Linked DNA regions of Oryctolagus cuniculus. The protein of the gene in region 1 interacts with the protein of each later gene in a biochemical or structural test. Links are inferred from orthologs where the notes say so. Each region holds a gene or a part of one and is shown on either strand. Other genes may lie near its edges. The genes, in order: IKBKG, NFKBIA, UBC, BCL10, SENP2, RAB11A and CYLD.

The links.
Region 2: of the proteins of IKBKG (region 1) and NFKBIA, one has a biochemical effect on the other in vitro, tested with the Homo sapiens proteins (15 studies listed by BioGRID and IntAct). The link is inferred for Oryctolagus cuniculus from reciprocal best matches to the Homo sapiens genes IKBKG and NFKBIA.
Region 3: the proteins of IKBKG (region 1) and UBC form a complex in vitro, tested with the Homo sapiens proteins (31 studies listed by BioGRID and IntAct, with this or other methods). The link is inferred for Oryctolagus cuniculus from reciprocal best matches to the Homo sapiens genes IKBKG and UBC.
Region 4: the proteins of IKBKG (region 1) and BCL10 form a complex in vitro, tested with the Homo sapiens proteins (3 studies listed by BioGRID). The link is inferred for Oryctolagus cuniculus from reciprocal best matches to the Homo sapiens genes IKBKG and BCL10.
Region 5: the proteins of IKBKG (region 1) and SENP2 form a complex in vitro, tested with the Homo sapiens proteins (2 studies listed by BioGRID and IntAct, with this or other methods). The link is inferred for Oryctolagus cuniculus from reciprocal best matches to the Homo sapiens genes IKBKG and SENP2.
Region 6: the proteins of IKBKG (region 1) and RAB11A are reported together in a solved structure, tested with the Homo sapiens proteins (2 studies listed by BioGRID, with this or other methods). The link is inferred for Oryctolagus cuniculus from reciprocal best matches to the Homo sapiens genes IKBKG and RAB11A.
Region 7: the proteins of IKBKG (region 1) and CYLD form a complex in vitro, tested with the Homo sapiens proteins (3 studies listed by BioGRID, with this or other methods). The link is inferred for Oryctolagus cuniculus from reciprocal best matches to the Homo sapiens genes IKBKG and CYLD.

Annotation. Positions count from the first base shown.
Region 1 is NC_091453.1:132,763,861-132,768,059, reverse strand, and holds the start of IKBKG (NF-kappa-B essential modulator), read right to left. Parts: upstream 2,905-4,199; coding exon 2,718-2,904; intron 1-2,717. UniProt on the Homo sapiens protein: Regulatory subunit of the IKK core complex which phosphorylates inhibitors of NF-kappa-B thus leading to the dissociation of the inhibitor/NF-kappa-B complex and ultimately the degradation of the inhibitor.
Region 2 is NC_091443.1:40,158,360-40,162,627, reverse strand, and holds the start of NFKBIA (NF-kappa-B inhibitor alpha), read right to left. Parts: upstream 2,919-4,268; 5' UTR 2,712-2,918; coding exon 2,485-2,711; intron 1,900-2,484; coding exon 1,791-1,899; intron 1,463-1,790; coding exon 1,252-1,462; intron 999-1,251; coding exon 910-998; intron 792-909; coding exon 531-791; intron 415-530; exon of another isoform or gene 252-414; coding exon 204-251; 3' UTR 1-203. UniProt on the Homo sapiens protein: Inhibits the activity of dimeric NF-kappa-B/REL complexes by trapping REL (RELA/p65 and NFKB1/p50) dimers in the cytoplasm by masking their nuclear localization signals.
Region 3 is NC_091452.1:5,126,932-5,131,016, reverse strand, and holds the start of UBC (polyubiquitin-C), read right to left. Parts: upstream 2,801-4,085; 5' UTR 2,436-2,800; intron 1,982-2,435; exon of another isoform or gene 1,813-1,981; intron 1,667-1,812; 5' UTR 1,664-1,666; coding exon 1-1,663.
Region 4 is NC_091438.1:85,908,535-85,912,891, forward strand, and holds the start of BCL10 (B-cell lymphoma/leukemia 10), read left to right. Parts: upstream 1-1,331; 5' UTR 1,332-1,629; coding exon 1,630-1,686; intron 1,687-4,357. UniProt on the Homo sapiens protein: Plays a key role in both adaptive and innate immune signaling by bridging CARD domain-containing proteins to immune activation.
Region 5 is NC_091435.1:95,274,641-95,278,382, reverse strand, and holds part of SENP2 (sentrin-specific protease 2), read right to left. Parts: intron 786-3,742; coding exon 609-785; intron 1-608. UniProt on the Homo sapiens protein: Protease that catalyzes two essential functions in the SUMO pathway.
Region 6 is NC_091443.1:88,897,139-88,900,880, reverse strand, and holds part of RAB11A (ras-related protein Rab-11A), read right to left. Parts: intron 3,208-3,742; coding exon 3,014-3,207; intron 2,086-3,013; coding exon 2,005-2,085; intron 820-2,004; exon of another isoform or gene 1-819. UniProt on the Homo sapiens protein: The small GTPases Rab are key regulators of intracellular membrane trafficking, from the formation of transport vesicles to their fusion with membranes.
Region 7 is NC_091449.1:34,288,939-34,293,253, reverse strand, and holds the start of CYLD (ubiquitin carboxyl-terminal hydrolase CYLD), read right to left. Parts: upstream 2,849-4,315; 5' UTR 2,768-2,848; exon of another isoform or gene 2,676-2,767; intron 2,110-2,675; exon of another isoform or gene 2,045-2,109; intron 1-2,044. UniProt on the Homo sapiens protein: Deubiquitinase that specifically cleaves 'Lys-63'- and linear 'Met-1'-linked polyubiquitin chains and is involved in NF-kappa-B activation and TNF-alpha-induced necroptosis.

The DNA.
Region 1 (4,199 bases):
CTGCGTATTCGACAGGGACAAGAACACCTGCCCTCTAAGCAGCAGCAGCAGACACAGTGTTTGTGCAGAAACTCAAAAAAGAGCAGTCTTTGGCCGGCGCCGCGGCTCACTAGGCTAATCCTCCGCCTAGCGGCGCCGGCACACCGGGTTCTAGTCCCGGTCGGGGCGCCGGATTCTGTCCCAGTTGCCCCTCTTCCAGGCCAGCCCTCTGCTGTGGCCAGGGAGTGCAGTGGAGGATGGCCCAGGTGCTTGGGCCCTGCACCCCATGGGGAGACCAGGAAAAGCACCTGGCTCCTGGCTCCTGCCATCGGATCAGCGCGGTGCGCCGGCCGCAGCGCACCGGCCGTGGCGGCCATTGGAGGGTGAACCAACGGCAAAAGGAAGACCTTTCTCTCTGTCTCTCTCTCTCTCACTATCCACTCTGCCTGTCAATAAATAAATAAATAAATAAATAAATAAATAAGAGCAGTCTTCTTCTCGCCAGACTAAGCCATGAGCATATATCAGTGCCAGCGGCAGGTGGCTGGCAGAGGCCAGAGGAGAGGAAAGCCACATACCCAGCGACCACCCCAGGTAGAGGAAGAAGCATCTGACAAAAGCGATCAGTGACGTGCAAGGTTCTAGGGCAACCACAGAACCGTATCCAACAGAGGTAGACAGTAGTTTCACATCACTGAATGTTCCAAACCCTTGGCCATCACTGCTGCCTGCCCACTCAACCCGAGTCTCAACTTGTGTGCAATGTCTTTTAAATTTCTTTTTAGTGACGTAAAAATTCATGTAACATCAAATTCACCATTTTAACTATTTTAAAGTATAGTCATCCAGTGGTTTTTAGCTAATGAAGCTGTAAGATCATGCAACCATCAGCACTACCTAATTCCAGAACATTCCCAGCACCCCAGAAAGAAACCCCAAACCCAGCAGCATTCTCTCCCGTAGGCCCCCTGCCCGCACTCCTGGCGTCCACTCAACTGCTTTCTGTCTCTGAGACATGTCACGTGAATACAGGCAAGCTCTTCCGGGAAGTTTCTTCATAAACGTTCTGAGCAAACACTGTACCCTCCCTTGTTTGGTTTCACAGCCTACCTATAGACACAATCATGAGCACCTTGGGGGACAATCACCTTCAGGGCCCCGGGGGTCTCACATGCTGCCCCCCAAGCTTTATCCAGCTTCCCAGTTGGAGGCAATATAGCCTCAAGTCTCCACTTGCTGCCAGAGACTTAGCAAAGCTGTTGTGCTGAACACACAGTCTAGGAGGCAGAAGAGCCGAGCCACCACAGGCCATGGCATGAGCCCTGCACAACTGCTCTGAAATGCTCTGGGCCCCTAGGGATGAGCAGAGGCCCCGATCTGGCTGCCAGCTCTATGTGCATGACTTGTTCTGAAGACCCCAGCACAGTGGGTCCCACTCAAGGACAACTGTGACTCCCAGGGGACTGGAGGGGCACTATTGGCACCTGTGAGTAGAAGCCAGGGATACTGCTCACCATGCCACAATGGCTAGGACAGCCCTCACCACAGAGAATTAGCTGGCCCCAGAGGTCAACAGAACTGAGGTAGAAGACACTGCTGCTCTGTGCTCAAGACAGGGCCTCGGGGCCAGCGCCGTGGCATAGTGGGTAAAGCCGCCGTCTGCAGTGCCACCATCCCATATGGGCGCTGGTTCTAGACCCACTGCTCCACTTCCGATCTAGCTCTCTGCTATGGCCTGGGAAAGCAGAAGATGGCCCAAGTCCTCAGGCCCCTGCACCCGCATAGGAGACCCAGAAGAAGCTCCTGGCTCCCAGCTTGGGATCAGCACAGCTCTGGCCGTTGAGGCCATCTGCAGAGTGAACAAGCGGATGGAAGGCCTCTCTTTCTCTGTATGCCTCTGCCTCTCTGTAATTCTGCCTTTCAGATAAATAAATCTAAAAAAAAAAAAAAAAGGCGGGGCCTCTCCAATGCAACCTTCAAGGAAACCAAGCAGTCTCTTGGTGGCTAGCTGTCTCCTAGGAAGAGGACACACATTCCAGACCCAGGTCTGCTCCCTGCGTGCATGGCATCTGCCAGCACCACTCCCTGAGGCCACAGAGCACGTGACTCATCAGCAAAAGACCCTACATCACATCCAACACTCACTTAAGGAGGTGGGGAATGGGACTACAACTGTGGCAAGAGCCACTGGCCAACTAGGACATGAATGGCCAACTAAAGACACAACTGAGGCATCAGCTACCCCACTGCAGCAGGGGTCATGCCTCTCATGCTGGTCAACACCACCTCCTCTCAGGGTGGGCCACACCCACTTCCCAGGACAGGCCACAGCACCCCCCTCTCAAACAAGACCGCAACCCACCCCAGGAAAGTCTGAGTCCCCTCCCAGGGAAGAGGTCCTCTGAGGCTGGGCCACGCTGGTCCAGCCTGGAAGTGTCAGTCCAGCCCCAGAGTCCCTGGGGGTCAGCCAAGGCAGCCCACTTCTGCTGCCCACCCCTGCTTTCTCCCATCTCCTTCCCTTCTCTGCCTCAGTACTGACCCTGCCATGCACCTCGGTCTGCTCCCAGGGAACCCCGCCTGGAACCAGGAGGCAAGGTAGCTACGCTGGAAGCACAAGCTGGCTCTCGGGGTGCCCTCGCCCCACACCCAGCAGACGCAGAGGTGCACGAGAGAAGCCTTGCCTTCAGCAGGACCAGATCCCCTGACTTTGTGCCCCACCTACTTGCTGTCCACCTCACCTCGGAGCTCTTGGTTCTCCTCCAGACAGCGCTGGAGAGCGTCAGGAGCACCCTGCTCTGCGGGCAGATGCAGCATGGCCGGCTTCCCCAGAGAAGACTCTTCAGGCAGCACGTCCTGGTCCCCGGCCGGGCCGCCGCTGGGCTGCACCATCTCACACAGCTGGTTCTTCCAGGGCTGCCTGCTCATCCAAGGCACGCTCTTCGAGAAAGGCAGCAAAGGCATCCCATGAGACCCAGGGGAATTCTCATCCCCAGCAGGATAAGTACACTCTGTGCAGGAGCTCTGGGGCCATGAAGGCAAAATGCTGATCCCTCTGGCCGAAATGGGGTTTCGATCTAAGAGGTCACAAACACCCTCATTCCGAAGGAAGATGCTGAACCACCTCTGTGAGACTTGCACAGGCCATGGCTTAGCACTGGTTACGGACTCTGTACCAGCACCCATCTTCAGGATGCACACCTAAGGCAGGAACTTTGCCAGAGGCAGAAAACTAAGGATTATTGTAGCAGGAGACATCGGTGTGCGCTGGGACCCCTACCCTTACACAGACCCTCAAGCCGGAGGGGATGTTCCCTCCCAAGTACTGTAGGCTGCATGGTAGCCCCAAAACCTATAAATGCAACTTTATTTGGGAAAAGTATCTTTGCAGATGTAAACTAAGGGCCTTGATCAAAATGAGAGCTTGCTGGGTTATTCAGGTGGGCCTTAAATCCATTAACAAGTGTCTTTATAAAAGACAAAAGACAGAGGAAAACATGCAAGGAAGAAAGCCAGGTGAAAACAGTCAGAAGGGGCCAGCATTGTGGTGTAACGGGTTAAGCCACCATCCCATATAGGCACTGGTTCAAGGCCTGATTACTCCACTTCCAATCCAGCTCCCTGCTAATGCACCCAGGAAAGCAGCGGAAGATGGCTCAAGTGCTTGGGTCCCTGTACCCAAGTGCGAGACCCAAATGAAGTTCCTGGCTCCTGGTTTCAGCCTGGCCTGGCCCTGGCCATTGCAGCCATCTGGGGAGTGAAACGGCAGACAGAACATCTCTCTCTCTCCATCCTACCCTCTCTATCTGCCTTTCAAATAAATAAATCTTTTTTTAAAAAAAATGAAGCAGATAGTGGCCAGGGAGTGCAGTGGAGGATGGCCCAAGTCCTTGGGCCCTGCACCCCATGGGAGACCAGGAGAAGTACCTGGCTCCTGCCATCGGATCAGCGCGGTGCACCGGCCGCAGTGCGCCGGCCGCAGCGGCCATTGGAGGGTGAACCAACGGCAAAGGAAGACCTTTCTCTCTCTCTCTCTCTCTCTCACTGTGCACTCTGCCTGTCAAAAAAAAAAAGAAGCAGATAATAAAGAGATGTGGCCACATGCCAAGGAAAAATCAGAGCCACCAGAAGCTGGAAGAGACGAGAGAGAACCCTCTCCTCTCAGCCTCTGGGGCTGCAGTCCTGTCGACTTTTTGCTTTCCAACTACTGTCCTCCAGAACCA
Region 2 (4,268 bases), on another chromosome or scaffold:
CCTCTGGATTCTAATCTTTCTTCTCCCCGAGGCACAGTTCACAAAAACAGCCGAACGCGGGCCAATCCACCACAGTTGAGCGCTTCGGGCCGGGAAGACACCCCTGGCATTTTTTTTCCTTTTTCCTTTTTTTTTTTTTAGAAAAATAAAACTCTCTTTTTGTACAAATATACAAGTCCACGTGCTTTCCAGGCGCCTGGTGCTCACAAGGTCAGGCGCTGGCCTCCGAACACGCAGTCATCATAGGGCAGCTGGAAGAAGAAGAGGAGAGTAAACCTCCAAGGCCCAGCCCGGGGCTGCAGGCCGCAGGCCAGGGCCCTGGCTGCGACTGCAGCTCCGATCCCCCCACCCGCCGTGCAATGAACTTGACAGGCTGAGTGCATTTCCCTTGAAGGATTTGCTGCTTAAAGAAGGGTAAGCTACTTTTATTTTTATTGGGGGGGGGGGGTTCTATACAGTCGGAGAGCTCTATCCAATATCCCAGGGCTGCTCAAGGGAAGGGGCCTGGCAGGGTAGGGGATGGGGCTCACCTCGTCCTCCGTGCCGTCCGACTCCGTGTCACAGCTCTCCTCGTCCTCACTCTCGGGCAACCTCTGGAGGTTCTCCAAGGTCAGCTGGCCCAGCTGCTGCTGGATCCGGGTGCTGGGGCGGCCCCATGTGAGTTGGTACGGGGAGTAGCCCTGGTAGGTGACCCGGTTGACATCGGCCCCGCACTTCAACAAGAGCGACACCAGGTCCGGATTCTGCAGGTCCACGGCGAGGTGGAGGGCCGTGCGCCCATTGCAGGGTTCCTAGAGCCAAGAGGAGTGTGAGATGCTTAGGAGGCGTCTGGCATTCCTGCGTGCAGCCAGTGTGGCTGACATGTTGCTGGCAAAGAGCAGCACTCCACCTGGCTCGTGAGGCACTCACCTGGGCGTTGACATCAGCACCCCAGGACACCAACAGCTCCACAATGCCCAGGTAGCCGTGGATGGAAGCCAGGTGCAGACACGTGTGGCCTAGACGGACAGAAGGAAGAGAGCATCACCACCTGTTTCACCGTCCCCCTAGTCACTCATGGGACAAGCACATGTGGCCCCTGAATTCTAAGGAGCCCGAATCTGGGTTCTGAATGAACATTCCAGCAGCCTGAGACAGGCGCTTGATACTCATTTCCTCCTGCTTTCACAAGCTGGGAGTTTAAGCTCTGCCCTGCACGCCTTAGGCCAGCCCGCCTCCCCCGCGCCGCCCGCCTGGGACAGCACAGCGTACCGTTGTAGTTGATGGCCTGCAGAATGGAGTGCAGGTGCTGGGCCGTGCAGGTCTGCTTGAGGACGCCCACGCTGGCCAGGCAGCCCTGCTCGCAGGCAAGGTGCAGCGGAGTGTTTCCTCGAAAGTCCCGCAGCTCAGGATCACAGCCAGCTTCCAGCAGTGCCTCAGCAATTTCTGGCTGGCTAGTGATGACAGCCAAGTGGAGCGGCGTCTACGAGTGGGAGAGCGAGCACAGATAAGCCTCGGCGCAAAGTCGTCCTCCGAGTGCCCCTGAGCCGCAGACATCTCCCGGGGGTGGGTGCTGCTCCTCCCAGACAGGGACAGGGGGCCAAAGACCAGGGCCCCGGGTGGGTCGCAAAGACCTCACCCAATCCGTGGGCTTTTAACTCTGCAGGAGACCGGCTTATTGGAATGTGAAAGGCCAGGGCAGGTAAGGACCTGTGGCTGTTCTTTCAGAGAGCTAGGGGTGGGGAGGACTGTGCCACATCGACTGCATCCCGAGGTCACAGAGGGCACAGGGCTGGGGACGACAGGCGCACCTGCTGCAGGTTGTTCTGGAAGTTGAGGAAGGCCAGGTCTCCCTTCACCTGGCGAATCACTTCCATGGTCAATGCCTTCTCTTCATGGATGATGGCCAAGTGGAGGAACCTGCAGGCCAGAGAGGGGAAAACCCCCCGCAAGGGGCGGTGAGCGCACTGCGTGGGGCCCCGGGGAGGCGCGGCCTGCGGGGGATTGCGCAAGGCCGGGGTTTCTGGAGCCGGGGCCGCGGTGTTTTCCGCGGGGTTATTATGAGCTGAGTGTTCCTGGCAGGCGCCCAGGGACTTTCCGGGCCCCGCCCCCCCCGCGGCGGCGCCGGCCAGGCCGCCCCGCCCTCCCGGCGGCCCGGAACGCCCTGTACTTCCCCCGCCGGCCGCGCGGCGCCCGCCCGCCCGCCCGCCTTATGCAACCCGGGACTCGGCGTCCCTGCCGCCGCGCCGCCCCCCGCCGCGAGCGCCGGGCTGCGGGGTTCGGGGTGTGCGGGGACGGGGCCGTCCACGCCCTTCCCCGCCGGCCCGAGGAGCCCCCAGAGGAGCCCCGGCCCGCGCGCGGCCGCCCCGCAGCTTTGCGGCAGACTCGGCGGCGCTGCACGGCCATCCCCCCCCTCCAGCCCGGCTGTGCTGCAGCCCCGGGGCCCGCGCTGCAGGCCCGGCCGCCCCCCGCCCGGCCCGCGGCCCTCAGCCCCCCGACACTTACGAGTCTCCGTCCTCCGTGAGCTGCTGCCTCCAGGGCTCGGCGGCGCGCGGCGCCTCCTGCGGCTCCAGGCGGATCTCGCGCAGCTCCTTCACCATCTGCTCGTACTCCTCGTCCTTCATGGAGTCCAGGCCGCTGTCGTGGCGGTCGTCCAGCAGGCGCTCCTTCTTCAGCGCGTCCCGGGGCCCCTCCATGGCCCAGTCCTGAGCGTGCTCGGCCGGCTGAAACATGGCGCTGCTCCCCAGGTGCTCGGCCGCGGGCTGCGCGCTGGCGTCCTCGTCCTGTCGCCGGCTCCTGGCGGGCGGCGCGCTGCGACTGTTGTGGGCTCGGCAGCGCCGCCGCGCCGCCCTATAAACGCTGGCGGGGAATTTCTCTGGGGGCGGGGTCAGGCGCGGGGAATTTCCAAGCCAGTCAGACCAGAAAAGAGAACTGGCTTGGTCCTCTGCTAGGGGAAAAAAAAAGGCAGCCTAAACTCCGAGCCGGGGTTCATCGGAGAAACTCCCTGGGATGACCCACCGGGGTCATGTCCAGGGAACTTCTCGCTGCGCGCTGAGTGGCTGGAAAGTCCTCCGGGCCCGGCGGCCGCCGCCGCCCCGGTGCTTCCCTGCGGACCGCGCGCGGCCAGGCCGACCCTGCAGGGCCCTCCTCTCTCCCTGGGGTTTCCCACGGCCGATTGCACTCGGGGTCGTCTGCTGCAGGGATCCCGAGGACACAGACCTGCCGGGCCGTTCCTCTTTGGGGTTTGCCGCCCAGCCGGTCCTTTCCGTTTTCTCGGATCTTGCGGAAGCGCAAGAGTGGAAACGGTGGCTGGCCGTGGGGGTTTGTCTTCCCCAGAGTTGGGTGCAGTTCGCGGGCGGCCCCTGGGTTCCCGCAGATTCCCGGCCCTGTAGGGTGCAAGCGCTCCTGGCGTCCCGACCCCCTCGGGGAGAAGCTGGGTTTTAAACCAAGTCCCGTCCTGGGGACTAACAGGCCTGTCGGCTGGGGGAGGGACAGATCTCGCCCTGCGAGGGGTCAGCGCTCAGTGGGGCCTCAAGGGTTTGCTTTTTGTTAAGCAAGGAGTTCGTCTTGGTGGGAGGGGTTGCAGGTAACCTTGCAGTAACGAAGTTCATGGTCTGTGCTGCAGGAAATGGATCCTGAGCCTATTTCTGAGTGCCCAGCTGAGCAATTTTTCAGCATTGGGAGGAGCCTGACCAATGGGTGGCAGTTAGTGTCTTACCCAGGATTGGGCCTGAAAGATGGCCAAGAGTAACTGCCAGGCCCCCCGCGGGAGGTTCCAGGCGGCTCCCCCGTGTGCTCTGGGAGAGGGCAGTAGCTGGAGCCATTCCTGCAGTGCCACTCTTGAGAGAATCCCCTGGCTTTAGAGAGGTTATGCTCCGGCCCCCGAAGCGGCAGACTGGGCTGAATTCAACTACTTCTGGAATTGGTGCAGGTAATCAAATCGGCTTTGATCGGCTTTGAGCATGAGCTCCAGGGGCCTCTGCAGAGGTTTCTGGAGGTTGTGGCAATCACCTTCGCCTTACTGATCAGGTACAAAGCAACCCTTGCCTCTCCTCGGATCTCCACCTGTTCCCCCCATATGGAACATAGGGGATAGGGTCACTAGGACAAAATATGAGGGCAAAAAAGTAAAATCAAGAAATAAACCCCTCAGTAGTAATGGTCACATGTTAGAGTGAGAACTTCCCAGTAGAGACTGCAGTGTCTGCAGGCTTAGGAACCGCACACACGGGTTTATCAAGGCAAGGTCGCACAGTGATGCAGGCAGGAGGCCTCGGTTCCAGGGTCAA
Region 3 (4,085 bases), on another chromosome or scaffold:
TGGTGTCACTGGGCTCCACCTCGAGGGTGATGGTCTTGCCGGTCAGGGTCTTCACGAAGATCTGCATGCCACCTCTGAGGCGCAGCACCAGGTGCAGGGTGGACTCCTTCTGGATGTTGTAGTCGGACAGGGTGCGGCCATCTTCCAGCTGCTTGCCGGCAAAGATCAGCCTCTGCTGGTCGGGGGGGATGCCCTCCTTGTCCTGGATCTTCGCCTTGACGTTCTCGATGGTGTCACTGGGCTCCACCTCGAGGGTGATGGTCTTGCCGGTCAGGGTCTTCACGAAGATCTGCATGCCACCTCTGAGGCGCAGCACCAGGTGCAGGGTGGACTCCTTCTGGATGTTGTAGTCGGACAGGGTGCGGCCGTCTTCCAGCTGCTTGCCGGCAAAGATCAGCCTCTGCTGGTCGGGGGGGATGCCCTCCTTGTCCTGGATCTTCGCCTTGACGTTCTCGATGGTGTCACTGGGCTCCACCTCGAGGGTGATGGTCTTGCCGGTCAGGGTCTTCACGAAGATCTGCATGCCACCTCTGAGGCGCAGCACCAGGTGCAGGGTGGACTCCTTCTGGATGTTGTAGTCGGACAGGGTGCGGCCATCTTCCAGCTGCTTGCCGGCAAAGATCAGCCTCTGCTGGTCGGGGGGGATGCCCTCCTTGTCCTGGATCTTCGCCTTGACGTTCTCGATGGTGTCACTGGGCTCCACCTCGAGGGTGATGGTCTTGCCGGTCAGGGTCTTCACGAAGATCTGCATGCCACCTCTGAGGCGCAGCACCAGGTGCAGGGTGGACTCCTTCTGGATGTTGTAGTCGGACAGGGTGCGGCCGTCTTCCAGCTGCTTGCCGGCAAAGATCAGCCTCTGCTGGTCGGGGGGGATGCCCTCCTTGTCCTGGATCTTCGCCTTGACGTTCTCGATGGTGTCACTGGGCTCCACCTCGAGGGTGATGGTCTTGCCGGTCAGGGTCTTCACGAAGATCTGCATGCCACCTCTGAGGCGCAGCACCAGGTGCAGGGTGGACTCCTTCTGGATGTTGTAGTCGGACAGGGTGCGGCCGTCTTCCAGCTGCTTGCCGGCAAAGATCAGCCTCTGCTGGTCGGGGGGGATGCCCTCCTTGTCCTGGATCTTCGCCTTGACGTTCTCGATGGTGTCACTGGGCTCCACCTCGAGGGTGATGGTCTTGCCGGTCAGGGTCTTCACGAAGATCTGCATGCCACCTCTGAGGCGCAGCACCAGGTGCAGGGTGGACTCCTTCTGGATGTTGTAGTCGGACAGGGTGCGGCCGTCTTCCAGCTGCTTGCCGGCAAAGATCAGCCTCTGCTGGTCGGGGGGGATGCCCTCCTTGTCCTGGATCTTCGCCTTGACGTTCTCGATGGTGTCACTGGGCTCCACCTCGAGGGTGATGGTCTTGCCGGTCAGGGTCTTCACGAAGATCTGCATGCCACCTCTGAGGCGCAGCACCAGGTGCAGGGTGGACTCCTTCTGGATGTTGTAGTCGGACAGGGTGCGGCCGTCTTCCAGCTGCTTGCCGGCAAAGATCAGCCTCTGCTGGTCAGGGGGGATGCCCTCCTTGTCCTGGATCTTTGCCTTGACATTCTCGATGGTGTCACTGGGCTCCACCTCGAGGGTGATGGTCTTGCCAGTTAAGGTTTTCACGAAGATCTGCATTGTCTGTTATGAGAAAACACACAAAAAGAAACAAAAAAAAATTCAGCAAACAATTCACTAATATTCCTAAAGACTGAATATCGTCTATTTATCTACACTATTAAAATTAATAACTTGCTTAGGAACTCCAAAGGACACCAAACACAAACCTGAAAAATTACTTCAAAACCCCAGCCTCAGACCCTTCGTTATGAAGAAAGCAGGGAAACGTGACCAGTGAACTCAGGGCTTTTCCGTCCCTCCCCCCTTCCGGCTCGCGTTCCCGTCCACTCAGCAGGATCTCGCCTAGGCCCTAACCGTGTGTCTTGCAACTGACAGAAACCGACGCCACCCACACCGGGAGGCAGCCCCGCCCTGCTCTGTGTGCCAACACGCGGGTGACGTCACGGCGCGAGCCGCCCCCCACCCGCTGGAGCAGCCCCGCGCCGAGGCGCCTCCCTACTCCCCAGCCCCTAACCGGGGCCCAGCGCTGCCCGTCAGCCCCGCCACACCGCTCCCCCACGTCTCCAAACGCGGCCCGGCGACGCCGCCTTCCGCTCCTCAGACCCTCGCGGCGCTCGGCGCTCTCCGGCCCCTGTCCGCCCTGCACCCTGACCTCCCGGCTCGGCGGCGCCGCCATCTTGTCGGTTCTTCCGCCTGCGGGGCGACCCCAGCCGACTACCCGCCCGGGAGGGCGTCCCGCCCGCGGCGGGCAGCCGCACCGCCCTCCTCCCTCACGGCCGAGAGGCCGCGGGCCGCCCCCACCCCGGCCAGCACGACGAGGTCCACTCACCAGGCGGCGGCGGCGGCGGCGGCGGCGGCGGCAGCTGTACGCAGGATGAAGGCGACCGAACTCCGGCTCCGACGGAACTGGCTGCGCCGCGCCCGGCGCCCGCTTATATAGTCCGACGGCGAGCCGCCGCCCCGGCGAGATCCCTCCGCAGAAACGCCGAGAAGGAACTACTTTCCTCAGCCTCTTCCGCCCTCCGGGAAGGAACCCTGCGCCCGGGGCCGTCGGCCCCCTCACAAAACGTTCTCGGGTCGAGCCCGGGGCGGTACCGCCGGGCCCGGGAGGGGAGGGGCCGCCGCCCTGAGGGGCCCGGCGGAGGGATCAGGGCGTTTGCTGCGTGCTGCGGCCGACGTGCGGGCGCCCGCCCTGGGGGAGGGGAGCCGGCGCGCGGGCGGCGGGAAGACCCGGCGCGGAGCCGGGCGGCGCCCGGAGCGGGCGGGCGGCCGGGGGCTTCGGCTCCGCCCCGCGCCCCGTCCCCTCGGCCGCAGCGGCCCGTCGGTGGGCGGCCCGCGGGGGTTCCGGCCCGGCGCCCCCTCCCCGCGCGCGGCCCGCTCTGTCCCCGGCCCGCGACCTCGAGGGGCTTTCTGTGGGGTCGCGTCTGAGGTGACCGCGGTGGTCTCGTCGGGGCCGGGCCGTGACTGGGCACATCCGGGCCTCGCCTCCGCGGCCCACTGTGTCCACGGCCCGTGACCTCTAGGGGGCTTTCTGTGGGGTCGCGTCTGAGGTGACCGCCGTGGTCTCGTGGGGGCCGGGCCGTGACTGGGCACATCCGGGCCTCCCCGCGCGCGGCCCGCTCTGTCCCCCCGGCCCGTGACCTCGAGGGGGCTTTCTGTGGGGTCGCGTTTGAGGTGACCGCCGTGGTCTCGTGGGGGGCCGGGCCGGTGATTGGACACATCCTGCCCTCGCCTCCGCGGCCCCGGCCCCGGCCCCGGGCCGCCGGCGCGCAGACCCGCGGGGAGCCACGGCGGACCCCGACAGCGCTGGCTGGTTGCGGCTGGTCGCGGCCGCCCAGGCTCTCCCCGGAAGCCGCCGCCGGAGGCGCCTGGTGCGGCCCGGGCTTTAACCTGGGCCTTTTTACGGACGCGAACCGAAGCTGCGCTCTGTGTTTCCGGGATCCGATGCATGAAACGCGCACCTCGCGTTGTGATCACAAGGGGGAGGGGCACGGTCAGCCACGGGGTCGTGTCCTGGTGTTTGGGAGAATCGTGGCGTCGACCAGCAGGTGAGCTGGAGGCTCTTAAACGTTAGCGGTGGATTTGCCCCCTCGTGCCCCGAGTCCCCCCCTCCCCACGCTGTGCTGTGCGACTCTTCTAGAATGTTCCATTGCCACGATGGGGCGGAGGCGGGACCACAGCCCCTCCTTAGAGGGGAAGACCGTTTTACAAGTGTCATGTCACCGAGAAGCCCCGGCAGAACAACCGCTGTGTGGTTGCTGTGGTAACCTGCGGCTGTGTGGATCTGGGAAGATCTACCTGAGCATTGTTAGAGGACTTTTCCACCCCTTAAACCCCCAAACAAGGAATGCCCGGGCCCGGGGGGTTAAAATGCAGAGCAGGAACCCAAGCTAGCGGGAGACCCTGGTGATGGCCAGCACGGATTCCTGTGATGGCCAGGTGTTTTCGTTCTTGTTTTGTTTTTCTGAAGTTCGCATCT
Region 4 (4,357 bases), on another chromosome or scaffold:
ACAACTCCCAACCACCTTTTAAAAAAATTATTTTCATTTATTTGAAAGGCAGATAGAGACAGAGACAGAGAAATATCTTCTATCTGTTGGTTCACTCCCCAAAGGCCTTCAACATCCAAGGCTGGGCTACTCAGGGCAAGGAACTCAGTCCAGGTCTCCCATGTCAGTGACAGGGACCCAAGTAAGTACTTGAGCCATCACCTGCAAGAACATTAACAAAAAGCTGGACCAGGAAGCAGAGCTGGAGATAGGAACCCAGGCCCTCTGATATGGGATGTGGGTGTGGGTGTGCCACAAAGATTCTTAACCGCTGCACCAGACTCCCACCCGCAGCCCTACCTCTTACAGGTCCCACCATCTCTTGATGTCACTACACAGGGGCTACTCAAGCTTCCCACACATGAACCTTTGGGGCAGCAATCACATCCAAACCATAGCAACATTCAATAAGTGTTTGTTAAATGAAAGAATGTACTGTTAAGTCAATCGAGTTATACCAAGATGATGGAAGATAAAGCAATCAGCAAAACTACTCGCATTATGCATCACCGTGGAAAAAAACATTCTCATGATATGACAAAAGGTTAATGTGAAAACCAGAGTCCTTGTGTTATTATCAAAACTGTAATGGCCTGGCTTTTGCAACATTGTTCTTTCCTGTCCCTTCCCTTAAATATTGGCTTTCCCAAATTTGTCCTTGGTTCTCTTGTTATTTTTCACTGGTCATCAGCCTCCTCCCATAAAATAGAGAACTCTTACACTGCCTAAAAATATCAATGAGGACTCAACAAATGTTTGAATAATAAAAGAAAATAAATAATAAAAGAAAATAAATGATACATTGTACGCTGTGTGCCAAGTACCTCTAAAAACTTTTCATCTACTCCCAGCAGCCCTGTGAGTGAAGCACAGGTCCCTTACCAGATCAATAAACGCGAATAACTTGCATACAATGAACATTAAATCAGGTATTAAAGCGGTAGGGTTGCGGGTGGTTTCCTTTTCTCTTTCCAAAATTTCTTTAATGTAGGTGTGTGTTCGTGGCAAAGAATATGAAAACCTTGAATGGGCAAACACAGCAACCGGAAACTGTAGAGCACTGTCTGGGAAAAGGGGAGGAACCAACGGCCGACACTCACCGAGGCGAGCAGCCCGTGCAGGCCGCGGGCCCGCCCACGGAAACGATTCCTTTTGGAGAAGTCCACCCGCGGCAGCTCTCAGACGACCTCCGGAGGCGTGGCTTGAGGTGATGTCAACCACGGTGGCCCCACCCAGGAAAGGCTCCAGCCGGGGGCGGGGCAGGAGTGGCCTGGGGCTGGCACCCATTGGCCGCCGCACAACGGGGCGGGCCCTATCGACGGACCGCCTTCCCGAGGGCTGGCGGGCCGAACTCCAAGCTCCGCGTCGCCGCGCCTGGTTTCTGCAGCGCCGTCGGTCCCGGAGACGGAGCCGGAAGCGCTAGGCTTTGAACCCCGATCCCTTCTGCTTTTCAAGGGGTACCCGAATCGCCCACCATAATCTGCCCCTCGTCCTTTCTCCCCCAATATCCCGAGACTGGTCCCCAGTTTGGGCGGGGCGGTGCCGTCAGAGCTCTCAGACCCGGAAGCAGCGCGGGGTCGCGCCTCCGCCATGGAGCCCACCGCGCCGTCCCTCACTGAGGAGGACTTGACTGAAGTGAAGAAGGACGTGAGTAGCCGGGGCGCCGCGGAGGGCTCTGGGCCGGCGGGGTCGGGGCGGGCCGCGGCCCCGCCGGAGAGGAAAGCGGAAACCCAGTGTCGGGGGACTAGGAGGAACCTCCAGGGCGGAGGAACGGAAGGTCCAGGCAGGGGAGGGCGGCTGTGCGCTCTGCAGCCGCGGTGCCTCGGGGGAAGTGACCCCCGCCTCCGGGGACCTGTTGATCCGTGTTTTTAAAATCGCCACGCGCAGAGCTTGAGATCTTGAGATCTTGTCCCGCGGGGCGTTTCTCGGCAGCCCGCTTCTTGCTTGCTGCTCACCCATCCCCGCATGATCCCCTCGGCCTCGCGGGCTCGTGGAGCTGCGTTCTTAAGAGATCGGCGGCTCGGGCTCAGCCCGGATCAGGCTCAGCCCGGGCCGCCGTCTCACCTAAAGCACAAGCTGGACCAGTCGGAGGATCCAGCGGGTGAAACTTTTGCAGCGGGGTCTGGGGGAAGCTCAACAGCTGAAAGCACAGCTTGGAATTCCCCTAGTAAGCAAACGCCCACATATTTAAATACGGGGAGAGGCGTGAACCCACGTTGCTCCGTTCCTTTACAAATCAGCGTTGAAAATATCCAGGAGCTTCTGCCTGGAGGATGCAGAGCCGCACAGACCTTAATATTTATTTGTAAAAAGTGGCCTTGTTGAGGTATTACTTGTTTGGTTTTTCTTTGCCAGGTGAGGCCTGGGTGAGTACTACTGCGAAGGTATTTTATGTTAATTCGAATTAAAAACAAATTCACACCACAGGACTTCTGCAGAATCACTTGTGGACAGGACACAATTCTGAAATGTTCCTCCACCTCCAGTCCGCTGCCCTCCCCGGAGGGTGTATTACTGTGAGCTGGCAGTTGGCAGTTGGCACGACTCCCTGGCAGAAGGGAACGGTAGGGTGGGACCAGTGCCTTAGTTTCCTCACGCAGCAGAGGCCCCCAAGAGCACTTGGCGTGTGTAGAGTGCTGTCCTTGCATGCCCCTGCTGTAGGCTCCTAGTTGAGGTAGGACTACCACAGGTTGAGTACTCCTTATCTGAAATCATTAGGACCAGAATTGTTGCAGATTTCAGGATTTGCGTATCCGTAATGAGAAATCTTGGGGATAGGGACTCAAGTTGAAACTTGAAAATCATTTATGCGGGCTGGCATTGTAGTGTTGTGGGTTAAGCCGCAACCTGCAGTACCAGCATCCCATATTGGAGCACCAAGTCGAGTCCTTGCTGCTCTTTGTCCAATCCAGATCTCTGCTAAGGACCTGGGAAGGCCGTGGAAGGTGGCCCAACTGCATGGGCCCCTGACACCCATACAGGAGACCTGTATGGAGCTGCTGGCTGCTGGCTTATGCCTAGTCCAGTCCCAGGTGTTGTGGCCATTTGGGGAGTGAATCAAGCAATGGAAAATCTTTCTCCCCCTCTCTGGTATCCATCTTATCCACATAATCCGAAGGTAATTTTGTACCTTATGTTTTATATGCCTTTGTTTTGGCTGCCCCATTATTACATGAGGTCAGGTGTGGAATTTTCCACTTGTGTCACAGCAATGCAGATATTGGAGGAGTTCAGATTTCAGAGAGTCAGATTAGGAATGTTCAGCCTATAGAAAGTAAACAAGCATTGTCTCATTCACAACGATTGCCACTAAAGCCATGCATTTCAAGAGATAGGCCTATTATGTTCCACAATTTATGATGTTACACAACTTACAGTGTTCCTACTTAAGCTTTATGACTTCCTGTAAAGGAGATAATGGCCATTCTCCCTTTACAAATGATAAAACCAGTGTGATTACAAATGAGAGGAAATAAGACCTGTACACACATACAGATGGGAGAGTGGCTTCTGGGCCTTTATTTTTCTCTGATGGTTCACTGATGTTATCCATTTCTGTGATTTCAATTTATCCCTGTATCAGAAATATGTATCCTTGGAGTAGGGGTTGTGGCACAGCAGAGTAAGCTATCACCTCGGATACCTGCAGCCCATATCACGGTGCCTGGGATGGAGTCCCGACTTCCTGCTAATGTACTTGGGAGGAAGCAGATAATGAATCAAGTACTTGGATCCCTGCCACACAATTGGGAGACCCTGGTGGAGTTCCTGGCTCTGGCTTTTGCCTGAGCTATTGTTGGTATTTAAGAGTGAGCCAGTGGATGGAAGATTGGTATCTCTCTCTATCTCTCTCTCTCTGCCTCCGCCTTTTAAAAAAAATCAAAATTAATAAACATTTCTTTAAAAAGAAGTAAATATATAACCTGGAGGAAAACTTAAATGGGTTTCAGGAGGTTTGTGAAAAAAAAAACATGTGTTTGGTTTGGTTTGTAGATTTTTTTCCCATGACATTTTCAACATGGTCTGCTGTATGCAGTACCCCCTCTTTAGTTGCTTGGTAGTCATCCCAGTAACCAGCAACTGTGGCAGTGTCACAGTTCTTGTTTCAGGCGTCCACTGGGGGTCTTAGAACATAACTGCCTCAAATAAGGTGGGACAGGTGTACCAACACCCATCCTCCTGGCCACTCCCCCTCGCGCTTTCCTTCTCCTTCGCTTCTCCATCTGATTGTTTACCTCATCTTTTTGATTGCTTTTAATTCAGTTTAATAAATGAAAAATGCATACTACTGTAAGACTGATGCTGTAGTTGTTTCCAA
Region 5 (3,742 bases), on another chromosome or scaffold:
CTGGGTCACTGCAGCCTTTTGAGGAGTGAACCAGTGGATGGAAGATCTCTTTCTAGCTCTCTCTCTCTTTCTCTCTCTCCTCTAACTCTTCTTTCAAATAAATAAATAAATCTTTAAAATAAATAGGAGCTGGCATTGTGGTGTGGCACGTGAAGCTATTACCAATAATGCTGACATCCCATGAGGGTTCAGGTTCAAGACTGCTGTAGTTCCAATCCAGCTCCCTGTTAGGGAGTCTGGGAAGGCAGCTGAGGATGGCCCAGGTGCTTAGCCCTCTGCATCCACATGGGAGATCCGGAGGGGGCTCCTGGCTTCCACCTGGCCCATTCCTGACCAGATCAAAGATCTAGCTCTCTCTCTCTTACTCTCTCTGTGTAATTCTTTCAAATAAATGAATAAAAATAAAAAAGAATCCATTGAGTTTGATGGTAGGAGTCCTTCACAGATCACTAATGATAATGTAACCAAAGTGACTAAGCAGATCTTGAGCTTGATTTTTTTTTTTTCAAACATGCTAGCCTGGAGAAATTCTTCAAACATTCGTTCAAGTTTAGAGTAACTGAGGTTATGTTAAAACAGGTCTCATTCTGATCAATACAGAACAGTACCTCTGTAAGTTCAAGGAGATCATCCGTTCTCCTATCCCTCTCTTTGCTTGAGCAATTCTTTTCCTTGGTCTCAAGTATCGACATTCTCCTCCTGAGTAAGCCGTTGCTTCCATTACCCAGGCGGAGTCGGGCAGACACTTCTTCTGACAGGTCAGGCTCCAGCTGGTGTCCCCTCCTCTGATCAACAAAATGTCTATATTGTATTGACATGTTTAATACTTGTACATATAAGCATACATTACACATAAAATAGAAAACAGTGCTATTATCTTGAACGAAAAGAGAATTAGCAAATCCCTCAGATGAATAAAGTATATTTAGCACATCTGTCTGTTCTTGCAGCGGAGAACAAAAAAAAAGCTCTAAACTTAAGGCTCACAGGCCATGGCAACTACAAACCATGAAACAGAACACAGACTACTTTCTCTGAGTAACAAAAGTATTTTCAGTTCTCCTATCACAATTAAAAATAATACAGTTAACAGGTATGTTGAAAAGTGTAAAAAAGCAAAAACTATGACACATAATCCCATGACAGAGAATAAGCCATTGCTAATCTTTTACTAAGAAGCTTTTCTATTATACCTAAAAAGTTATTAAAAATTATAGAAGAATTCAAAAACAGGAAGGCAAAGCCTATCAGAATGGCCAATGATTTCATTCAAGTCTGTGTAATGAGGGCCTCTGCAAAGCACAGAGGACAGTTCAGGGAGCCTCTGGATGGCTGAGCACCTGGAAGTGCCTGGAGGTGGATTTGCCCAGAGGGCTCAGAAGCTCTGTACTCCTCATCCTATGTATCTCTTCCATCTGGATGCTCATCTGACTCCTTTGCAATATCCTTTACAATGGGTAAACGTAAGGAAAAAGAAAAATGCAAAACATTAATGTACCACTTAATTAACTTGTAAAATGAACACCCTGTAACTGCCATTTCAAGTCAACAAATAAAATTGTCAGCACCCCAGAAGCTCCGATAAGCCTTAAAATTAGGTTATTTAGATACAGAACTTTGGAACAGATACCACACTAGTGTCAAGACACCTAGCCAGGGGCCACTCTTGTGAGGTAGCAGGTAAAGCCACTGCCCACAATGCCAGCGTGCCATATGGGCACCAATTCAAGTCCTGGCTGCTTCACTTCTGATCTAGCTCCCTGCTTATGGCCTAGGAAAGGCAGTACATGATGGCCAAAAAACTTGGGCCCCTGTCACCCACATGAAGCTCCTGGGTCCTGGCTTCAGCCTGACTCAGTCCTGACCATTACATCCATCTGAGGAGTGAAGGATAGGAGTGAGGATAGAAGATATCTTTCTCTTTGTTTCTCCCTCTCTCTCTCTGTAGCTCTGTCAAATAAATATATAAATCTTAAAAAAAAAAAAAAAAAAAAAAAAAAAAGACTCCTAGCCAACACTCTTCATTCTAGCTAACTGCCAGGTATACTGGTCCCAGAAAACCAGTAGCTTCTAGTCCTTCCCCGTGGCCTGAAACAGCAAAGTCTTCATATTCAACAAGGATGAAAGTAGGATGTTGCCCTTACCCAGTTTCCAAACACCCCCAGTCTGTCCTCTCTCAGGCTTAGTTTCCCTCTTCTTTCAGCTTTTACTCCACAGGTAATAAATAACAATTAAACACAAAAGGCTTGGGGCCAGCACTGTGGCACAGCGGGTAAAGCCGCTGTCTGTGGTTTAAGCTCCAGCAGTTCCACTTCCAATCAACATCCCTGCTAGTGTGCCTGGGAAAGCAGTGGAAGATGATCCAAATATCTGGGCCTCTGCATCCATGTGGGAGACACTGATGAAGCTCCTGTCTCCTGGCTTTTGACAGGCCCAGCCTCAGCCATTGTGGCCACATGGGGAGTGAACCAACAGATGGAAGACCCCTCTCTCTCTCTCTCTCTCGCTTTTTAACTCTGCCTTTAAGATAAATAAATAAATCTCTCTTTTTTAAATTTATTTATTTATTTGAAAGAGTTACACAGAGAGAGTAGGAGAAGCAGAGATAGAGGTTTTCCATCTGCTGGTTCATTCTACAATTGGCCACAATGGAAGTAGAGCAGCTAGGACATGAACCGGCACCCATATAGGATGCCAGCGCTGCAGGCAGTGGCTTTAGCCGCTAGGCCAGAGTGCCAGGCCCTAAATAAATAAATCTTTAAAAAACAATGCAAAAGGGGCCGGCACTGAGGCGTAGCCGATTAACACCCTAGCCTAAAGTGCAGGCATCCCATATGGGCTCTGTTCTAGTCCCGGCTGCTCCTCTTCTGATCCAGCTCTCTGCTATGGCCTGGGAAAGCAGTAGAAGATAGCCCAGGTGCTTGGGCCCCTGCACCAAGGTGGAGACCCGGAGCTCCTGGCTTCTGGCTCCTGGCTCCTGGCTTTGGATTGGAGCAGCTCTGGCCTTTGCAGTCATCTGGGGAGTGAACCAGCAGATGGAAGACCTCTCTCTGCCTCTCCTCTCTCTTTGTAACTCTTTCAAACAAATAAGTAAATCTTTAAAAACAAACAAACAAACAAACAATACAATACAATACAATACAATACAATACAATACAATACAAAAGGCTCTACTCTGAATCACTGGAAATGGAGAACATAAGAGAATGGGAAATTCCAAAACTTATGAGTCAGGGCCTGCACTGTGGCGTAGCAGCTAAGGCCACGGCCTAGAGCACCTATTCTAGTGCTGGCTGTTCCACTTCTAATCCAGCTCTCTGCTATGGCCTAGGAAAGCAGTAGAGGATGGGCCAAGTCCGTGAGGCCATGCACTGTGTGGGAGACTGGAGGAAGCTCCTGGTTCCGGGCTTTGGATTGGCACAGCTCCGGCTGTTTTGGCCATCTGGGGAATAAACCAACGTTTGGAAGACATCTTTCTCTCTTTCTCTCTCTCTCTCTGCCTCTCTGTAACTCTGCCTTTCACATAAATAAATCTTTTTAAAAAATTTTATGATTCAAGAGTATAACTCTGCCTTAAAACTAACTCTTATGAAGATGTCTAGGGAAGAATACAAACTAGACCAAACTGATGTTTAACACAACACCATCTTCTACATTTTTTTAACACGATATATCCAAAATGTAAAATGACTTAAAATTTTGTGTTTAATTTAGAATTAATGACTTAAACGTTTGTGTTTAA
Region 6 (3,742 bases), on another chromosome or scaffold:
ATAACTGCTATTTAGTAACTAATGTATCAAATGTTCACTGTGTAGCGGGATAGCTAAGTATTTTACAGGCAATAGCTTGTGCTCATTTTTGGTACCCAGAGTTGTCTGAGTGACACACCATTCTTTTCTATGAATTTCAGAAACAAAACACCTGATAGGTTGCAACACAACAGTCAAATGAAATCATACCACAAGGTTTTATAAACACAAACTCTCTCTCAAAACAGAAATAAAAGAACTTCCCCAAAATTTTACAGATGAAGAAGATCTTTAAGGTTAAGGAACTTGCCTAAGATTTAGAGCTAACAGTAAGTGAAGGAGTCAGGACTAGCACCCAAGTCAGGCCTCCAAGTCCATGTTCTTAATTCCTAGGCTTTATTCCCAACTTTTTTTTTAACAGTAAAATAGTATTTTAAAGCTGAAATCTGCTTAACTCTAATACAAGTACTATATACAAACATTAAATTAAAACTTGGGAACTGGAAACTCATTAATAAACATTTCTCCATATAAACTTTTTAAGACCACCACCACATAAGACTGTCCTATATATTAAGACAATATTCTGGGGTCAGCGCTGTGTCGCAGCGGGTTAAAGTCCTGGCCTGAAGCACCAGCATCCCATGTGGGCACCGGTTCGAGACCCAGCTACTCCATTTCCGATCCAGCTCTCTGCTATGACCTGGGGGAGCAGTAGAAGAGGGCCCAAGTCCTTGGGCCCCTGCACCCATGTAGGAGACCCGGAAGAAGCTCCTGGCCCCTGGCTTTGGATCAGCGCAGTTCCGGCCATTGTGGCCATCTGGGGAGTGAACCAGCGGATGGAAGACCTCTCTCTCTGTCTCTACCTCTCTCTGTAATTCTGTCTTTCAAATAAATGAAATAAATCTTTGGAAGAAAAAAAAGAAAAAGACTATACACTAGGCCAGCACTGTGGTGTGCTGAGGTAGGCCTCCACCTGTGGCGCTGGCATCCCATGTGGGCGTCAGTTCATTTCCCGGCTGCTCCTCTTCCAATCCGGCTCTCTGCCTGTGGCCTGGGAAGGCAGTGGAAGATGGCCCAAGTCCCTGAGCCCCTGCATCGGTGCAGGAGACCTGGAGAAGACCTGGCCCAGCTCCAGCCATTTGGAGAGCGACCCAGTGCAGAGAACCTTTCCCTCCGTCTCTAACTCTGCCTCTCAAATAAATAAATAAATAAAACTATATTCTAACTCACGAGTTCTTAAACGTACTATACAGTTTATGGAGTGGGCATTGTGCCACTGCGGGTTAAGCCACCTTTGCAATGCCCACATCCCATATCAGTACTGGTTTCAGTTCTGGCTACTCTACTTCCAGTCCAACTTCCTGCTATCACATCTGGGAAGGCAGCAGATGATGGCTCAAGTACTTGGATCCCTACCACCCATGTGGGAGACCTGGATGGACTTCCAGGCTCCTGACTTTAGCAGGCTGGCTACTGGGGTCATCTGAGGTGTGAACAGCAGACAGAAGAAAATTCTTGTCTGTATCTCTCTCTCTTTCTCTCTCACTGCCTTTCAAATAAAGTAAATCTTCAATTGAACTTTTGTATATTCAATCACTGGCTGATTTTATCTGCAAGTGACAACCTGCATCTTCCACATCACAGCAGAGTTTTCTTTTCACTTAACTGTTTAAAAATTTATTTTTTCCTAGCCTTTTCTATTCTTTACTGAATTTCTAAAACACATTTATATCTTTCCACATCAAGGTAGATTTAAACATAACTTCAGCTGTGACTGTGATAACAAAAGTGAACAAATAAGCCTCAAAACATTTTTCCCATATAAAGATGAATTGGGATGACTGGAGCTCAATGAACAAGATCTGTAACTAATTTTGTACTGCAAACAGCTCTTGCTATAGTAGTTCTCAAATGACAGTCATTCTCCAATGGTGCGATACATAGCTTCCTGAACAATCTGCTTTTATGACCTTCCTGAAACTTCCAATTCCAACTGGTATAATCTGAAAATGCAAATCTTACCTGTTAGAATTGTTTGAAAAGCAGCTTCTACATTTGTAGAATCTAAAGCAGATGTCTCAATAAATGACAAACCATTCTTTTCTGTGGGGAGACACAAAAACTCAGTTTTGTCAAGTTTTACAAGTAAAAGAAAGAATGTCATATAATTAAGCTCTCAAAAAAGAAAATAACATGACTTTTTAAAATCTAAGACTGTGCCAACTTCTGGGACCGAAAGGGCACCATTCTGTTTATACTCTACCAGACTGAAGTTTTCATTGGCTTCTTGATTAAATATTTATTACTCTAAACATTACCAATAGCAATGAATGAGATCACTCAAAATGTAGTAAACTTACCAAACACTCAACTGTGCTCATTCCTTACAGTCCTCTGCATCCCTATGGTATTCACTTAGAATTTTAGAATTCTGTTATTATTGAAATAAAGTTTCTTCTTGTCTGGGAAACTAAAAACTGTTATGGAAAACTATTCACAGCATAATCACTAGTGCAAGGTCATGACTTTCACTAGCTAAGAATGCATGATGTTGCTTTCTGATAAGCTGCCCTTAACAAAACTGGGGCAGGACCAAGAGAAAGGCAGATCCTCTATGGGACCAAAGACAGCTCCTAAGCAGCTGTCTCCCTGTTGGTCCCTAACAATGGCTAGACCCATCTAGAGCTGCATTGGTAAAATACAGGCTTGATGGAAAAGGAGGTAGAACATGCTTCATTAACAGATTTCACCTACCACTTCAAGGGACAGAAAAGAGGACAACATTTATTTTCTGTGTTTTTTTTTTTTTTTCCCCACAAAAACTCAAAGTCTTGGTGTTTCAGTAACTTGAAGTTCAGCTAAAGAGCCATACAGTAATCACAAACTTTCAAAACAATCATCTTTGTTGAGTAATCATGTTTACTTTTCTGAAACTATTACAACTACCCTCAGTGAAAGAGTGAAGAAACTGCAAGACATAATAGTAAAAACTACAGAATCACTGTAATAGCATGGGATTCAAATCACTAACCTGCAAAAGCTCTTGCTTCATCGGTAGGAACTGCCCTGAGATGACGTAAATCACTCTTGTTACCCACGAGCATGATAACAATGTTACTATCCGCATGATCTCTCAGTTCTTTCAGCCACCGCTCTACATTTTCATATGTGAGATGTTTAGCAATGTCATAAACCAATAAGGCACCTACAGCTCCACGATAGTATCTGGAAACAGAAACACACACATTTTTAATTTTTTATTTACTCACAGTAATTGAGAGGCAGAGAGACAGAGAGAAAGGGGTAGACATTGCTCAACTGCTGGTTCACTCCCCAAATACCTGGCAGCTGGGAATTTAATTCAGGTCTCCCACATGAGTGGCAGGGACTCAAAGACATGAATCACCACCTGATGCTTCACGGAATCCAAAGCAGGGTCGGGACGCAAACCCAGGTACCCCAATATGGAATGCAGGGGTCCCAGTCACTGCACCAAACACCCACTCTCATTTTGTTTTGCTTATTTATTTTCATCCACTTGAAAGGCAGAGACAGCAAGAAAAAGATCAATCTTCCATCTGCTAGTCAACTCCCCAAACGCCTGCAACAGCCAGGATACCAGAACTGCATCCAAAACTCCTGTATGAGTGGCAGAGGCTAACACCTGAGCCATCGTCTGCTGCCTTCCACAATGCATCAGCAGGAAGCTGGATTGGAAGCAGAGTAGCCAGGACCTGAAGTGGCACTCGTAATATTTATT
Region 7 (4,315 bases), on another chromosome or scaffold:
GCTTTCGACAACACTGAACATGAAACGGGGTCACTTGGATTTGAAAACATATCTGGTTACCTGAGCTTCCTGACGGTCTGGATTCTAGCAAAGGGGAATTGAACGTATTAAGATAAAATTATCAAACCAACACGAACACTGGAAAACACAATTATTTTATCCATCTCCCATGAAAAGCAGATGATCAAAAAAAAGTTTTACATAAACATATCAAAGGCCAGAACACTGTGTTCTAAAAAACAATACCTAGTACAAAGGCATATCACTAGCTACAGAGAACTCACAATGGTTAACCTATCCAGAAGATACAAGTGTCATTTCACGCTGGAGTCACCAGGTTCTACTGTTCCCAACAGCTCACAAAGACAGATGTAATTCAAGAACTACATCTTCTTTTGTATCTGCCGAGATAGCCTCCCTGTTTCAAAAATCATAGGAGGCTATCTAAATTCGAATTAAAGCTGCAATGCTAAATTACTGCCCCTATTTATAAATGGCAAAGAAGTAGGAAGGCCAGCTCAAACAACAAACAAGGGAGACCCGTGGGCCTTTCTTCAACTGCTTCTAGGCAGCTGGAATGGTTGCCCTCGTCAGAAAGAACACCTCTCACTAAAGGAACTGGCTGTTAAATTCTTAAATGGTTCAAGCACAGGAACATGGGGATTCCAGGACCAGAAGAGAGACTTAATTTCCATGTTCCTCATTTTACTAACTTGTGACACAAGGACACAGTCCCTAAAACAAGTGGGATTTATCAGGTGATAGGCAAAGTCTGGCTCCTTCCCCAACACGTTCGTGTCAGAAGAACAAGGAACAGTATCCTACACTCACTGACATGTCCTATGTCCCATGTCCCCTGCGCAGACCCCACACGCGAGAAACGAACGAAACACTTTTGGCTAAGTCAAGTGATAAGAGCCACAGCTGCAACTCTCATTCCTCATCCTGTTTTTAAGGAATTAAAATCTTCTTGCAGGTTAAACAAACGAAGGGAGGGAGGCAAGGAGAAAGGGCTGGGAGGATTCAGTGAGGTCTGCCTACAGCTTCACTCTGGAGAGAGGAAGTCATGGGGAAGTCCCGCGGCACTGCACTGTTACACACCTAAGAACAATCAAATCCGGGAACGCTGTGAGGCTCACTGGAAGTAGCCTCCGTGGAGCCTCACGCCGTATGTGATGCTTAGGAATTCTATATAACCAAGGTAAGAAATTGAAGATGACGCTCTGAAATCCAGGAACACAGTTCTAACAGTTTAACGAGTGAGACAATTACTCTTCTCTCTTCTTGTGTTAAAGACTTCCTTAAATCAAACAAAACCACAGGTACCCGGCCAAACCGCAGACATCATCGTTGCCCAGTGTCCGTTGTTTTACATAGTAAGTGCCCTGGTCTTACCAGCTTCCCAGAGAGGTACCACCCAAAGGAAGGCCGCCTTCCTTTGGCACAAGAAGACCCACCAATTCTCCGGCAGACCATTAAAGAGCGGTCTGGGTGCTATCAGCATTTGCAGTACTTGAACTTCAAGAGGAATTTCCAACAAATTATTTCCTGCTAACACTGTTCTAGTTCAAAGCCACCCACTCCCCAGTGGGGAATGGCAGGCTAAATTGTTAGGGCCATTCAATCTACTTGGGGAATGAGGGGGCGTGCAGAAAGCTACCACTTGAATGGACACCCTCTCCCGGCCTGAGCTTTGCTCTGGGAACCAGGGTTTGCAAAATGAACAATCTTAATTGGCCCCAAATCAAAAGCAGGATAGGACTGCTCATTAGCTAAGGATACAACTTTCCAGGGGAAACTGGGGAGAGCAAGGTGGCAAGGACGAGGGGGTTGGGCAGCCACAAGCTTGCTGGCTGGAAGACGACAACCAGCCCAAAACACGCAAATGCCAAGGGGTGGCACAGGATGCCAAGTACACGAATAGCCCAGCAGCTGACCCAGATGAGCACCGAACTCAGAAACCCCATCCTCCTTCAAGACTTCATGATTTCCCCCACACACGCTTAATAGGATTTAAAAAAAAAAAAAAAAAAAAAAAAAGTACCTGTCGCAACAGGGCGCACCTTTCAACTACAGAACTCCAGGTTGTTGTGCAAAACCATCCTCAACCTGGAAACGGGAAACGGAAAGAAGAAGCAGAACACGCCATTAACGAGGTCAGAACCCCGGCTGCTCTTCCTGGACGGGCGCCGCAAACACCTCGAAACCGACCGATCCAAACGCCCCTCTACACGGACGGGCGACGCCGCAACCCGGGGCTCTCGGGGTCAGCTGGGGCCGGCCAGGGCCAGCCGGAGGCCCGTGCCTCAGTTTCCCCGTCTGTTAACGGGGAGGCAGGGCAGAAACGGAGACTGAGTCCCGCACTGTCTTCACCCCAAGACCCCTCTTCTCCGGGAGTCCCAGAGGCGGCGGCCAAGCTGCCACCACCACTCAGGATCGAGCACTCCCGGGAAGGCTCGGCGACAAGTGGAGACCCAGGGTGGGGAAGCCCGGGCTGACGTCAGTGGGCTCAGCACCTCGCGGGCCGGGGAAGCTCGGCGGGCCGGGGCAACTAACGGGCCGGCGCCGAGGCCCGACCGTCGCCGCGGCGGCTCCAGGCGCCCTGAGGCCGGGGAGGGGCGCCTCAGAGGACTGGGCCGCCGGCCACTCGGCCGCCCGCTCACTCACTCACCCACCTAGAGCGGCGGGACGTAACCCCTTGCCCAGGCTCCCTAGCCCACGTCCCGGGTCGGCCCCGTCGCCCCACACCCACCACCCTAGTATTTACCTCCGACGCGCGGCCCCCGCGCAGCCGAACCTGCTACCTGGGCCCGCCCCCACCTGCCCCGCCTCCGAACCGCCCAAGAGGGAAGGAGGGAGCGGGGGCGGAGAGGGCGACCGCTGAGCTAACCAATCGCTGCCAGAGCTCCCTTCCTACGCGCGCCCTGATTGGGCCTTCCTGTGGCAGACCTTCCTCCAATGGCTGCCCGCCCGTCGCTGGATGAAGGGACTTTCCGCTCTGTCAAGCTCGGTGGAGCCAAAGGGAAAGCAGAGGGGAAGGGCGGAGAAGAACGGGATGGGGGCGGGGAGCTCTGACTGATTGGACGAGAGACTACGGACGCCTCATTACCATTGGGTAATGTCGGAGCCGGGGCGGGGCGCTTTGCTAGTCCCAGCTCCGCCTCTCAAGCTCATGCTCGGGTCTCGGCTCTCTGCCTCAGCTGTCAAAAGGAGGCTAGGGGAGGAGCCCGGATGAGAGCTGGTAATAGGGTTCCAGGGTTCCAGAAAAGAGCAAAGCTTTAGAATCAGACCTAAGTTCGAAGCTGCTGCTCTCTCAATTAGTCACCAGTTGTGGGGGACCTCGCATTCAAGCTGGGTCTCAGTTTTCTCATCTGTAAAATGGAGGTGACAGCGACACCTGGCTTAAACGCCGGAGTGTCTTCCTCCCCGCCAGAGGCGGCCTGCGAGTCCTGCTACAGTCTGTCGTCACCTGCGCGGGTCCAGAATCTCCCTCTCCGCACGCTGCCTCACCCAGCCCCGCGCCCCTGGACGCCAGCCAGCACTTGGGTGTAGTTACAGATCCGATTCCCAAAAGTGCTCAAAATATATAAGGAAATGCTTTTTATAATCAGTCCCAGAGCCTCGCAGCGGGACTTGCTGCACTGGATACTCCTGTTAATTACTTCCTTCTCCTTTGACATTTTAGGTACTAATTATGGAAGAAGGTGATTAATACTGAGAAAGGAGGAGGGGTGTGTGTGCGCGCGTGTGTGCGTGTGTGTGCGCGCGCGTGTGCATGTGCGTATTTAATGACACAAATTTCCCCAGTGGAAAGCGATACGTTTCTGAAGATCTAGGGAACTGAAACCAATGAGTGCATAAAACTAGTCATAGAAGTGATTACTAACTCCCTTGCCGTAATCGCCCGGAGTGAAATGGACCTCTTTTGAAAACCTAAGCCTTGATCCCCTCCCGCTCCTCCTTGGTCTACCCTTAAACTGCAGCAGAAGCAACAAGTTGGGAGTCTGGCTCCAGTGGCCTCCGGCAGCGCTGTTCCCCTGTAGAGTTCGATTCTTCAATAAAGCTGATAGGGCTCAAAGGTCGTAGGCAGGCTGGCTGGCTGGGAGAAACTATTAGCCTCAAGATGGTTTTTGCTTGCCCATATACCAAGGAGGAGGGAAGAAAAGAGGAAGTGGAGTGAGGGAGAGGTATTCTGAATCCTTTCACACAAGACAAGCCCTCTCACTTCCTGCACCTGGCCACACTGCTCCCCATTCTCTGTTCCGTCCCCAGGACCACTTCTCTCATTTGCATTACCACCTGGCCCCTGAAGGGC